Linked DNA regions of Sus scrofa. The protein of the gene in region 2 purifies or fractionates together with the protein of the main gene of each other region. This does not show direct contact. Links are inferred from orthologs where the notes say so. Each region holds a gene or a part of one and is shown on either strand. Other genes may lie near its edges. The genes, in order: EEF1A1, GAPDH and SIAH1.

Region 1 (4,175 bases), on a different chromosome or scaffold from region 2:
TACTATTAAACTTAAATGGCCAATTGAGACAAACAGTTCTGAGACCGTTCTTCCACCACTGATTAAGACTGGGGTGGCAGGTATTGGGGATAATATTCATTTAGCCTTCTGAGCTTTCTGAGCAGACTTGGTGACCTTGCCAGCTCCAGCTGCCTTCTTGTCCACAGCTTTGATGACACCCACAGCAACTGTCTGTCTCATGTCACGAACAGCAAATCGGCCTATTAAAACAAAAATTAAATCACCATGAGAAACACTTTCTCTACATAACTGCTTTTCCATTTTTACTGAAGCTTAATTACACTAAAAAGGCACTCTTACCCAGAGGAGGATAGTCAGAGAAGCTCTCAACACACATGGGCTTGCCAGGAACCATATCGACAATGGCAGCATCACCAGATTTCAAGAACTTGGGGCCATCTTCCAGCTTTTTCCCAGAACGACGATCAATCTTCTCCTTCAGTTCAGCAAACTTGCAGGCAATGTGAGCTGTGTGGCAATCCAGCACAGGTGCGTAACCAGCACTGATCTGGCCAGGATGGTTCAGGATAATCACCTTAGGGAGAAAATTTGCATTTAGCACATTTTAGACATTTAGACAGTTAAGGTTCTGGCAGTTTAAAAACCTGTCACTGAAGTGTTACCTGAGCTGTAAAGCCAGCTGCTTCCATAGGTGGGTCATTTTTGCTGTCACCAGCCACATTGCCACGACGAACGTCTTTGACAGACACGTTTTTGACATTAAAGCCCACGTTGTCCCCAGGAAGGGCTTCACTCAAAGCTTCATGGTGCATTTCAACAGACTTGACTTCAGTTGTAACATTGACTGGAGCAAAGGTGACCACCATGCCAGGTTTGAGAACACCGGTCTCCACTCGGCCCACAGGGACTGTACCAATACCTGAAGTATTCACAGCACAGCATAATTATCTCGTATGAAGACAAACATCACTGCAACCCATACCAGCTGAGTGTAACGTTCAACTTACCACCAATTTTGTAGACGTCCTGGAGGGGCAGGCGCAAGGGCTTGTCAGTTGGACGAGTTGGTGGTAGAATGCAATCCAGAGCTTCAAGCAGTGTGGTTCCACTGGCATTGCCATCTTTACGGGTGACTTTCCATCCCTTGAACCAAGGCATCTAAAACACAAGATCATCAATTAGTGTTTTCAAACTTATCCCTTCCCAGACTTAAGTTTTGAGAACTCATCAAAACCACTTACATTAGCACTTGGCTCCAGCATGTTGTCACCATTCCAGCCAGAAATTGGCACAAATGCTACTGTATCAGGGTTGTAGCCAATTTTCTTAATGTAGGTGCTGACTTCCTTTACAATCTCTTCATATCTCTTCTGGCTGTAGGGTGGCTCAGTGGAATCCATTTTGTTAACGCCAACAATGAGCTGTTTCACACCCAGGGTGTAGGCCAGAAGAGCATGCTCACGGGTCTGCCCGTTCTTGGAAATACCTGCTTCGAATTCACCAACACCAGCAGCAACAATCAGGACAGCACAGTCAGCCTTTAAAAAAGAAAAAAAGGCCACACCCTGTGAAAACCTCTCCAAAAAGGACAGATCCATGGTTTCGCCAATTTATAGATAACTCAAAATGTTACTCTCAGGAGTTCTTAATCCTACAAACCTGGGAAGTGCCTGTAATCATGTTCTTAATAAAGTCTCTGTGTCCTGGAGCATCAATGATGGTCACGTAGTACTTGCTGGTCTCGAATTTCCACAGGGAGATGTCAATGGTAATACCACGCTCACGTTCAGCCTTTAGTTTGTCCAAGACCCAGGCATACTTGAAGGAGCCCTTTCCCATCTGCAGGGATTAAGAAGGGTTACTCGGTAACTAAACTCCTTAGTCCCACTTGGAAGCAATGCTAGGTTTCACTTCCATCTCCTAAACTTGGCTGGAGTTAAGCCACTTAGCAAACTTTGCAATGTACTAGTTCAAGTCAGATATACACTAGTTTTAGAGAACTACCACTTAATTTGCTGACGTTACTTTACCGACCTCCGCAGCCTCTTTTTCGAACTTTTCGATGGTTCTTTTGTCGATCCCACCGCATTTGTAGATCAGATGGCCAGTAGTGGTGGACTTGCCCGAATCGACGTGTCCGATGACGACGATGTTGATGTGAGTCTTCTCCTTTCCCATTTTTGCTTAGCTTTTAGCGATGGCTTTCACGACACCTAAGACGACAAAAACCTTCTTTAAACTACTGTCCCGACGACCGGAGACTCAGGCACAACCCCAACAGCCAAGGGCAAACTCCAGGGAGCATTAGCACCGGCGCCCTGCGGGCCCTGCCCGGCCTACACCCAGCGAACGGGGCCGCCCCGGCGCCCAGCCCCTCCCCCACCCGGGCCGCGAGTCCCGGGAAGCGGCGCGGGCAGCACCGCCCGGCCCTTTGTGCGCCGCCCGCCGTCCGCGTCCTCCATCTTGAGACCGGGAGCGGCCATCTTTCCGCGCTCGCAGCCCGCCCGGGCGGGGCGCTGGGTCTCCGACCGCCCGCCCCGCCCCGCCGCGGCCGTCTGCCCCGGGACCGCCGGGCACGGAGGCCACCTTGGGCGGCCTCGGCTGGGCCGCCCTGGCAGTAACACGCGGCTGCCGGCCGAACTCGAGCGCGAAGACAGACGGGGCGGGCGCGAAGGCGCGGATCGCACGCGGCGGCCACGGCGCCCCAGCAGGCCGCCACCGGGCACGCGGTAGGGAACCGCGAGAGCGGAGGGCCTCGAGTTCTCCACCTCCCCCCGCCCGCAGCTCGGAATCAGGACCAGGGCGCAGAGCCCTCTACGCGCGGGGGGCCGGGAGGCACGCTAAGGCCGTGGCCACCGGCGGAGGCCATGCGGACGGAGGCCACACCCGTACTCACCTGTGTCCTGGCGGCAAACCCGTTGCGAAAAAGAACGTTCGCGGGGACCACGGCGCTTATATATGGTCCTCCCCCACCCTCGGGGAAAAGGGCGGAGCCAGCACACGACACCACTTTCCCAGTTTACCCCGCGCCACCTCCACCCGGCACCGGTTCCACCGCCGTCCCCTCCCCCCATCTTCGGGGACCGTGGGCGATGTGCGTTCAGCCCACTGACGAGCACACGGCGCCCGGCGCATGCTCCTCTCAACCAGGAGGATGACGACTGCTGGTGGGTGGGAGGCGGGGTCGAGCGCTCACTCGGTTCTAGGTTTAGTGGGAGTTTATCGACGGTCCCTGGGATTTCCCTGGCTGAGGAGAGTCCTCCTTTTGTATGAATTACTCTCCGCACAGCTGGGGGGTGGGGCGGCGGGGAGGCGTCCAGAATCTTCCCTGAACCGGTCGTAGCTTAACTGCAAAGTTGGACCGAGATGGGAGCCCTTACCCGGCAGTACCCCACCGGTCCTCAGTCTTGCGGTCTCGCAGGTTAAGGACTAACCCCTGGAGCCGCTTCCTCTGCCGGGGCTTCTCCACCGCCCTTGCCGTCCGCGCCCCTTCCGGCTGGAGAGGGAGGCGTAAAAGGCCGGGGAACCGCGGCGGCAGGGGCCTCGGGGCGGTCTTCAGGGCCGAGAATCCGCGAGTGGCTCAGTTTGCTGACCAACAGCCTGGCGAACAGGCTCCTGCGCTGACCTCTTGGCTTTTTCCATTCAGTTCTTTTATCTAAGTTCGTTCTACACACCACGTGGTACTCCAGACGTCCAGTTTTTGAGTTTAGAATAGACTTAAGTACTACAGTTTTCTTTACTTCTAATCCTAATTTTATTACGTTTAAGACCCTGAGTGTGTGTCTACCCTCCTATTAACATTTTTTTTCCAGTGTATACTCTTGGTTGCAAGCATGAAAAACCTAAAAAGAATTTTTTGAGTTCAGTGCTTATACACGATCTCAAGTAGAGACTAAGATCTACAGCGCCAGGAAGCTTATCCACCCAATTTACTACTCCAACGTTTGCTGTGAAATCACTGTTTCTCAAAAATGGCCTATCCCATTTGAATAAACGGCTTCATCTTTTGTCGTCCTATCCATTGTGACTGCATTTTAGGCATAAATCCAGGGCAAGACAAGATGAGGCCTTTTTGGTTGGCAATCAGGCAGATATTCAAAAATATTCCTGAAGAAAGAGGAACCTTTATTTTAAATGAGCTAATTACTAGATCGTCTCTTCCACGTGTAGAGCACTACTGCAACTTTTTGAGC
Region 2 (4,387 bases):
CACCAAGCTCACCTGACGATCTTGAGGGAGTTGTCATACTTCTCATGGTTCACGCCCATCACAAACATGGGGGCATCGGCAGAAGGGGCAGAGATGATGACCCTCTTGGCCCCACCCTTCAAGTGAGCCTGCAGCAGAGGAGCAGTCAGACACCCGGGCTTCCCCTTTCCTGGTCCAAGTCAGCCTCCCCCAGTCTCCCCGCTACACCAACCCCGCGGTTAGGTCCCCTCCTCTTTCGGTTCCCTGCCGCTCACCCCGGCCTTCTCCATGGTCGTGAAGACACCAGTGGACTCCACAACATACGTAGCACCAGCATCACCCCATTTGATGTTGGCGGGATCTCGCCTAGAAGGGAAGACAGGACAAAGTTCAGGGGCGCGGGGGACCACAGACCCAAGGTGGTCACCCCGTCCCAGCACCACCTCCTCCAAGGCAAAGCTCTTCCGGTTCCGTCTTCCATACTTACTCCTGGAAGATGGTGATGGCCTTTCCATTGATGACAAGCTTCCCGTTCTCCGCCTTGACTGTGCCGTGGAACTTGCCGTGGGTGGAATCATACTGGAACATGTAGACCTGGGGGGGACGAGGGAGGGCATCAAGGGGCTGCGCCCTGGCAGGCTCTGTCCCCGCCCCCGCCACGGGGGCCACTCACCATGTAGTGGAGGTCAATGAAGGGGTCATTGATGGCGACAATGTCCACTTTGCCAGAGTTAAAAGCAGCCCTGGTGACCAGGCGCCCGATGCGGCCAAATCTGAGGGGGACAAGAGGCGAGGAGGGAGGAGTGAGCTCTCCTGGAGATGTAAGCAGTCCCAGGCCCACGCGCCCGCTGTCAGCGCGGGCACTTTCCTACCAGGAGATCTCATTTCCTCCTCCTCGCACAACCCTGCCAGACCAGCCTGGCTTCCCAGCACAGCCACAAAGTGAAAAGCTCCCATCCTGCCCAAGAGGTGATGAAGCTCCGAGACAGGCCCACACCCCCTGGTCATCTGAAATCTGTTAAGGGGTGACAGGGTGGTGCACTGCTGCTGCCACCTACAGTCTGGGCACATGGCCGGCACATGGCATTCCTCAGGCCCACTGTCGGTAAATGCTTGTTCCTATCTGGCCAGCTTCAGGCCACACCCTCTAGGGAGCAAAATCTTGCACACTTGGCATCACCCAGCTCAAAGGGCAAGAGCAAAGGTCAGAAGTTAACTGGCCAGGGAAACCCCCCCCCTTCCCCAAGTCCCTCCTACAAAAGGGAAAGCCGTTTCTCAAACCCAGAATCCCGGGCTTCTGATTTGTTAGGAACCTGTCTTTGTTAGCTCTTTTCCCAAAATCAGGAGTGGGAGCAATAGACGTGTGGGGAGCGGGGGGGAAGGAGAGGGAGAAGCCCAGGCCCCCAGCTGCAGAAAGGTCAGGCAGCTATATTTAACCCCAGCTTAGGGTGGAGTGGGGATCTGGTTTCTGGAAGAGGGGATGGGGAGAAGGGCAGGATTCCCGAGGCTCACGGACATCTAATCCTCCTGGTGACCTTTACAGCTTGGCCTTTAGGGTGGGGTCAACCCTAGGCATGGATGGAAGGAAGCAGCTTCAAGGAGCACTGATGCAGAGACAGGGGCTGCGGCTCCGCCGGCTCCGGGAGCCATTTTGTGGAAAATTTCTAAGTACCCATGACTCAGCTCCCCCGGCATGGCACCAAGCCAACGCTACCACACCTCTCCGGAGAAAGAGAAGGGAAACAACCCGGAAACAACCCAAGACCACCCCCATAAAGCCCCGTTTTTGATTCATCAGAGAACCATCCAGAAAAAGCATCCCCTCATCCCCGGGGGGGGGAATCTGGCTGGGGCTTGAAGGGATGCTCTAGGGTTAGTTTGCTAAGAGCTGAGGTCCAGCTGACTAAGAAGGGGAAAGCGTGGCCGGACCTGGGTTACCGGATAAAGGAGACTCCACCCCACGAGGCAGGGGTAGAAGGCTTAGTCATGGGCAAGTAAGGAGAAAGATTGAAGGACTCAGGAAGATTTCCTAACGGCGGTTCATTCATTTCCTTCCTAGTTGCAACATGGCGGCTAGGTTACCGCAGATGCCCCCTCCCAGCTGGTTCTGCACAGCAGCTGTGCCTCCTGCATCCCGGGGCTGCCCGGCTGGGGGCACTGGTTGCGGCTGGGGGGATGGGCTCCTCCCCTTCACGTGACCCCGCAGGGCGCGAAAGGAAAGAAAGAGCCCCAGCTGGGGGATTAGGGGATGGGGCCAAAGCAAGAATTGGAGACTCCAGGGCTGTGTATCTGCGGCAGGTGAAGAGGAAGGCTCCGCAGAGGCGGAGTTACAGAACGCGCAACAGCCAGGGATGGGGGACACGAGGCCTTGCGAGGGCCTCCTCCAGGTCCGAGCGCTGACCTTGAGTTCTCCTTGGGGGTGGGGTACGACCACCCCATCCAAGTCCCCCACATGCTTGCACAGACCCGGTAGGGCGAGACCTGCGGACGCAATTTGGTGGGGGCTGCAGTACTTACTGCCCCACCCTGCCCCACCCCCTAACTCACCCGTTCACTCCGACCTTCACCATCGTGTCTCAGGGACGCGGCTGCCGGCAGAGGAAAGAGAACATTAGATCGCGGGGCAAAGCGGCTGGAGCCCGACGGTGCCCTCCCCGCCCCTCCCCCAGGCCTCCATCCTCGCTCTGCTCTTCTGCACGTCCTTCCTCCCCCTCAACCCGCAATGCAGGGGCCCGGCCCGGCGCAGCCACAACTCCGGCTCCAGCCGGGGCCCCGCACCCACACTCCCAGACCGCGCACGGCCCCCGGTCCCTTTCGGACCAGTCCTCGAACCCTTGTGGCTCCACTCCGCCAGGCTTTACCTGGCAATGCACGGAACACACGGCTGTCTGTCGAACGGGGAGGAGCAGAGAGCGCAGGGGAAGGCTGCAGCCGGAATTTATAGGGCAGGGGGCGGGGCGGGGGCGGGGTGACGTGGGCTCGCCTCGCCCAGTCCTAGCTCCAGCAGCGGAGGCCTGAGCTACGTGCGCCCGTAAAGTCGCGAGTAGCCGACCCCCACTTCTTCTTTTTTTTTCCTTTGGACCCGCCTGGTTCTGCCAATGTGCACGCGCCACACAAGTGGGCTGAGGACGGAGAGGGGGAGGGGACCGGTGATGCTGCCTGGCCCGGTTGGGGTTGTACTGCAGGGGGCAGTGGACTAGGAGGAGGGGGCCCTGGCGAAAACTGAGGACACCCAAGGAGCCAGGGACGTTAAAGTTGCTGCAGGGATGTAACGGGAGGATATGGGGAGCCAGTGGGATGGGAAATTGGAGCGGAACCCGGGGTTGGGGGCGCGGCTCGCAGCTCGCGGCTGCAGTCTCCCCTACCCCCCCCCCTTCAAAAGCTGAGAAGCGGGAAGATTGAGGAACTTCTCGAGGCTCTTCGGTAGTGACCCAGGAACTACAGAGGAAAAGGCCCGGGAGGGGCCTCCAGCAAGGCCCTCTCCAGCCCCCTTCCCCTTTCCCCCCTCCCCTTCTCTTGGCTCCTGGCCTCCCCGGGCTGGGGACCGCGGCTGGCCCTGGCCAGTGGGAGGCCTGGAGAGGAAGGAGGCTCGGAAGGAGGCCTGAGAGGGAAGTTTCTGCACTGAAGGTCACGATGCCCTGCAGGACAGGCAGCCTGGACATCTGAGAATCGAGCAGACAAACCAGGACCTGTGTGCACCAGCTGCTCTCCCCCAGGCCCTGGCTGGCTGGGGCCTCAGCGAGGGGACAGGATCGCTTTGGGGGGCTGGCCAGGTAGAGGCTCAGAGGTCTCCCACAAAGTTGCTCCTGGGAAATTTGAGGGCTGAGCGGCCCGGGCTGGGAGACAATGTCCCTTTCACCCCATCCAGCCCTGGGCAGAGCAGGACGTGAGAGCGGAAGTCCCTCCCCATCCTGGGACGTGCAGGCCAGCCCTGCAGTCAGGGCCTCCCTTTCACTGGCTGCGCCCAGGGGATGTTGGGGGCAGGGTGAGGTGTCCATAAGAGGGAAAAGATTGGGAGGTCTTGGACACAGGGTGGGGACAAGGGCCCCTAGCCCCTTCCCAGACGTGATGTGGAGGAGGAAATCCATTCTTCTCCAAGACCAGTCCCTCAGAAGCTGGGGCTGGGCCAGGTTTGTGAGCAGAGGATGAAAGATGGGTTGGTTCTGAGGACTTGAAGTGTTGAAGGTTCAGGGAAGGTGGGGGGAGGGTGGAATGGACGTTGCCCATTAGCAGGTGCTGGTGGAAGGAATTGGGGCCTCTTTGCTGGCCCAGCGTAACCTGAGACCAGCCCCCTTTTCCAGCTGAAAAGCCTGTGGCTAAGTTTAGCCCGCAGGATGATAACCTTTGCTTAAAAGGCAGAGAGCACGCTGCCCCGCACCCCGACTCAAGCCTGTCCTGTCCCTTCCCT
Region 3 (4,233 bases), on a different chromosome or scaffold from region 2:
TTGGAATTATGTAAGTGAATACTTCCATATTTTGGAATCTGTACCACCTGTAATGTACGTAATTTACCCATCTCCCTTAATCCATGTAAAAGCATGCAAGGCTGGCAGTACTGTTCTGATTTTACAGTTGAGTAGGTGGTGAAAGCTGGGTTTGAATCCCAGTGTAGATGACTCCGGAACTCTTCCATTTTTACTGTCGTGACTGACTTACTGAGAAATGTGTCCATAGATTAATGGTTTTCAGACAGTGTTGTAAGCTTCAATACAGGTCCTTTGGAAGTTGGAGGAAAAAAACTTTTTAGTTTGAGGAATTTGTCATCCTTTTTACTTGTTTTACAAATTTGGACTCTGTCTTCATACTGTTTGGAAAGAGTTTTTCTGCCTAAAACATTTAAAAGTCTTCTACTTTAGAAACCCAACACCTAGCTAGAGTGAATATGTATTAAAAAATAAAGACATTGGTAATAATAATTTAGATTTGTCCGTGGACAGATTATATTTTCAGTTATGTTTCAGTTCCTAATGATGTTTTGTCTAATATCAAAATGAGACTGAGGTGACTGAATACTATTAATAGGATGGGGAAGTGATTTGAATTAAAATTTTATGCTGAAAATGGACAATCTACAATTTACACAGGGTTCACTCTCCACTACAAGCTCTTGCTCCCTTTAAAGGCTGCCCTAAGCGTGATGTAATGACAGGTTAAACCTCTGAATGCTGGAGCTGACGCAATGAGAATCTGAGGCCCAGGACTTTATTGGGACAAGGGTAATGCTTGTTTAAAAACAAAACAAGCTATTTTGTTTAATGAGGGCGTTTAAGATGGCTTTCCCAGAGTGGGAAGAGAATAAAATCTCAATTTGGACGTTGAAGTAGAAGTTTAATATGGTTATGTGTTTACGACTCTCACTGCGACGGCTTCTCGAATCGAGAAAGGAAGTTTGAAATAAGGTGCTGACGGCGGTAAAAATGGAGAAGTGAGTTAGAATTGAGGAAATAAGGTAGTTGACATCTGATAAATAGTTAATGAAGTAGACAAATGCTTTTGCTATATAAAAATCCGGAGTTTGCACGGTTAACTGGCAGAGTATAGAGCAGAGAAGAGTGCTTGTCTGGCCACGTATTTTCCATATATTCTATGTAGCGCTATGAAACCACCCCAAATTGCGATATCCGACTGTTTGGGCCTACTGAAACGGAGTGTTTCCACCTCACGTAAGCCGGTGGAAAAGCTGAGGCGTGCGGTATGTCTCCGGGGATCGCGAGGTTCTGCGGAGCTGGGTAGCTGTGTGGGAGTTGCGCGCTGCATGCTCGGGATTCTTGCCAGAGCCGTGCAGGAGCGACTGCGAGCCCTGGAGCCGCCCTAGGCCGAGTGGGGCGGAGCTTGCAGCCCCGCCTCCATGCGCCGGCCCGCCCCTCTCCTGCCGCGGCAGCCACCGCCCTGAGTGCTTTGAGCCTTCGGCCGGCTGGCAATCTGCGTTGGAGCAGGCTCTCCCAGCGGCAGCCCGGCCCAGGCCTCCAAATGGCTCTCCCCGCGGGCCGGACCCTGCAGCGGTAGCTCCAGAGCTGGGACTGAGAGCTGCACCGCTTCGTCCAGTCGCTGCTGCGCACTCTCCAGCCCTGTCCTTCACCGAGCTGGCCAGAGCCTAGCCGATGAATTTGGGAAGACAAACTTGGGAGACAGACGAAGGTTTAGGGCCCAGCAGAGGACAGCTCAGCAATGGCTCCCATTTTTGGAGACGCAGGCGAATTTGAGCTCATGGGGAGGTGTGGTCGACTCCTCTCGGGGCGGGAGGGTGCTTCATTTCTCTGCCGCTGTAGCCGGTGCTTCTGAGGAGTGAATGGAGTGTATGGGGCATGGCACGTGCCTTCCTGTCTTGAAAAGTTGACCCTGGACAAATTTAGGAACGGAAGGTGTCCAGTAGGGCCCTCTGTTACAAATAGTCTCTATTCGTGGGGGAAAGGCTATGAGCTGCCTGGCTTCTCATGACCGGGAAGTCTCCCTTACCTTTTCTGTACTCCTGGAGGGGCGTCTTGCTCACTTGTTTACCAGCATCCGGGACAAGGAAGAGAAAAGGTATTACTGTTAAGAGACTGGGTTGCTTAAATTGTGAATTGGGCAAGTTGTTATAAGCTGGTGGAATTTGAATGGATCAGGGAATGGCTGCAGCGTAATTGAGCTGGAGATGTTTCTTTTGAGCAGCTCTACTTTTCTCAGTTTAAAACAAACTTCAGGTTATGCAATGACTCCTCCAGGGTTGTCCAGACACTTGAATCCTTGATTCCTACTGCAGGTCTGCTGTGTTCTTAGGATTCCTTTTCTGTTTGAAGATGGAGCTGGGTTCCATCTTCTGAGCTTTGGGAGGTTTTAGCAGCTGCTGTCCTGTAATACTTTCATTCATAAGAATTACAAGCTACATTTTGCTTGCTTTTCACACTTTGAATAGGAATTTAAATCGTGCTTTTTCTACAGTGTTTGGAAAAATAATAAATATGTGTTATATCATAAGTCTGAACTATTGATGATAAATGTGTAACTATTTTCCTAGGTCAAGAAATTAAACAGTAATGCTTTGCTTGCTTAGTAGTTATATTATGTTGAATACAAACTGAGTTTACTGCCTCCTGACGCGATTTGTTGTTTTGGCGTAGTGAATTGAAAGGCATTGGTGGCTTAGATCATTTTGTGCTGAAGGAACCACTTCCCAGTTACTACGTTGCTCTCTTAAAATAAGCAGCATAAAATGGACTATGAAGTAAGCATACAGCACACATACAGGGCATTTTGGTAATGCTAAGCCCATTGTTCTGCTAGTGACCTAAAATAAAATGCATAGATCATCATATGCACAAAAAAATCTCCTGGGGAAAACTGGATTACAGGAGAGTTCCTTTATATTGGTCTAGAACACCTGGGTTACACAGGGCTTCAGATGGTAAGAATTGATTCCTGTTGTCTTAAATCCTTGTGATGGGCCACATTATGATAGAATCCTGTGGTACTTTTGTTTCTCCTTGAACTTTAGTCCTTTAGTGACAGTGATCTTTCCGATAGAATAATTACAGTTAGGGAAAATATGAAATCTGAAGAGTTAAATTTTAGTTTGATAGAAATATGGCTTAGGGTTCTTGGGAATATACTCTTAAGGACGTCCGTAGACTGATCTTTTGTCATCCCCAAGAAAATGGCCTACCGTATCCCAGCAAAGGTAGATTCCTGGGAAAAGCTGCTAGTTTATCTTTCATTCACCCTGACACATAGTTAACATTGTTGATCATTTCTTCCAGATGGCATTTATTTCATAAATAGTGTTTATTGGTGTGCTGATGAATGCTTCAGCAACACTGGTGAACTTTAGGGTACGAGGCATTCTTTACCTGTTGACTCTATCCCTCACCTCCACTGTTGTGTGAGTCTCTCTGGTGCTTTTGATCTTTATTTTCTTGACTCTCCTTCACCTTTGCAAATTATACTGGTTTATATTGTAGAATGGAAGTAGAATGATTTACTGTGTCTAAATACTGGACTCAGAACTTTTATGAGAGGATGGCCCTCCATTTCTCTTCTACTTTCTCACTTTTGAAGGGGGCATGGATCAGTAGGAAACAAGATTAATTCCTAGCTGGTGTTAACTTTCCATGAAGATGGATGATGAAGAGGAGGTGGATGGTGGGATGGCAGCAGACCCTTCCCCTTGTCGCCCCTTTCATTCCCCAAATTACTCCTAGAGCAGGTAACCGTTCATCATTAGGAGGAATTAATCAAAGTCAGTACCCTGGTGATCCTTTGGATCACATGTAACTCCCTGGAGCACATGTAACAGCTGACTCAGAATGAGTAGGGGAGGTGGGGGAGAAAGTCCAGTCAAAACTGATTTTATTGCACTTAAGCTCCTTCTTGTTTATGGTCCAGTTTCTATTTTAGCATTTATTCCACGTAGTCCATCCAAGTATGATTTTTAACATTTTTTTTTTTTATTTTTTTTTATTTTTTTGTCTTTTTGTCTGTTGTTGTTGTTGTTGCTATTTCTTGGGCCGCTCCCGCGGCATATGGAGGTTCCCAGGCCAGGGGTTGAATCGGAGCTGTAGCCACCGGCCTACACCAGAGCCACAGCAACGCGGGATCCGAGCCGCGTCTGCAACCTACACCACAGCTCACGGCAACGCCGGATCATTAACCCACTGAGCAAGGGCAGGGACCGAACCCGCGACCTCATGGTTCCTAGTCGG

What was found.
Region 1: the proteins of GAPDH (region 2) and EEF1A1 fractionate together in Homo sapiens (co-fractionation; 3 studies listed by BioGRID). This does not show direct contact. The link is inferred for Sus scrofa from reciprocal best matches to the Homo sapiens genes GAPDH and EEF1A1.
Region 3: the proteins of GAPDH (region 2) and SIAH1 purify together in Homo sapiens (affinity purification with western blotting; 4 studies listed by BioGRID). This does not show direct contact. The link is inferred for Sus scrofa from reciprocal best matches to the Homo sapiens genes GAPDH and SIAH1.

What each region holds. Positions count from the first base shown.
Region 1 is NC_010443.5:92,420,687-92,424,861, reverse strand, and holds the start of EEF1A1 (elongation factor 1-alpha 1), read right to left. Parts: upstream 2,912-4,175; 5' UTR 2,879-2,911; intron 2,196-2,878; 5' UTR 2,161-2,195; coding exon 2,017-2,160; intron 1,822-2,016; coding exon 1,642-1,821; intron 1,521-1,641; coding exon 1,224-1,520; intron 1,141-1,223; coding exon 990-1,140; intron 902-989; coding exon 645-901; intron 557-644; coding exon 322-556; intron 222-321; coding exon 97-221; 3' UTR 1-96. UniProt on the Homo sapiens protein: Translation elongation factor that catalyzes the GTP-dependent binding of aminoacyl-tRNA (aa-tRNA) to the A-site of ribosomes during the elongation phase of protein synthesis.
Region 2 is NC_010447.5:64,131,099-64,135,485, forward strand, and holds the start of GAPDH (glyceraldehyde-3-phosphate dehydrogenase), read right to left. Parts: upstream 2,923-4,387; 5' UTR 2,841-2,922; intron 2,568-2,840; 5' UTR 2,550-2,567; coding exon 2,527-2,549; exon of another isoform or gene 2,434-2,526; coding exon of another isoform or gene 2,381-2,433; exon of another isoform or gene 753-2,380; coding exon 653-752; intron 574-652; coding exon 467-573; intron 346-466; coding exon 255-345; exon of another isoform or gene 129-254; coding exon 13-128; exon of another isoform or gene 1-12. UniProt on the Homo sapiens protein: Has both glyceraldehyde-3-phosphate dehydrogenase and nitrosylase activities, thereby playing a role in glycolysis and nuclear functions, respectively.
Region 3 is NC_010448.4:36,359,254-36,363,486, forward strand, and holds the start of SIAH1 (E3 ubiquitin-protein ligase SIAH1), read left to right. Parts: upstream 1-1,306; 5' UTR 1,307-1,989; coding exon 1,990-2,080; intron 2,081-3,589; exon of another isoform or gene 3,590-3,652; coding exon of another isoform or gene 3,653-3,737; intron 3,738-4,233. UniProt on the Homo sapiens protein: E3 ubiquitin-protein ligase that mediates ubiquitination and subsequent proteasomal degradation of target proteins.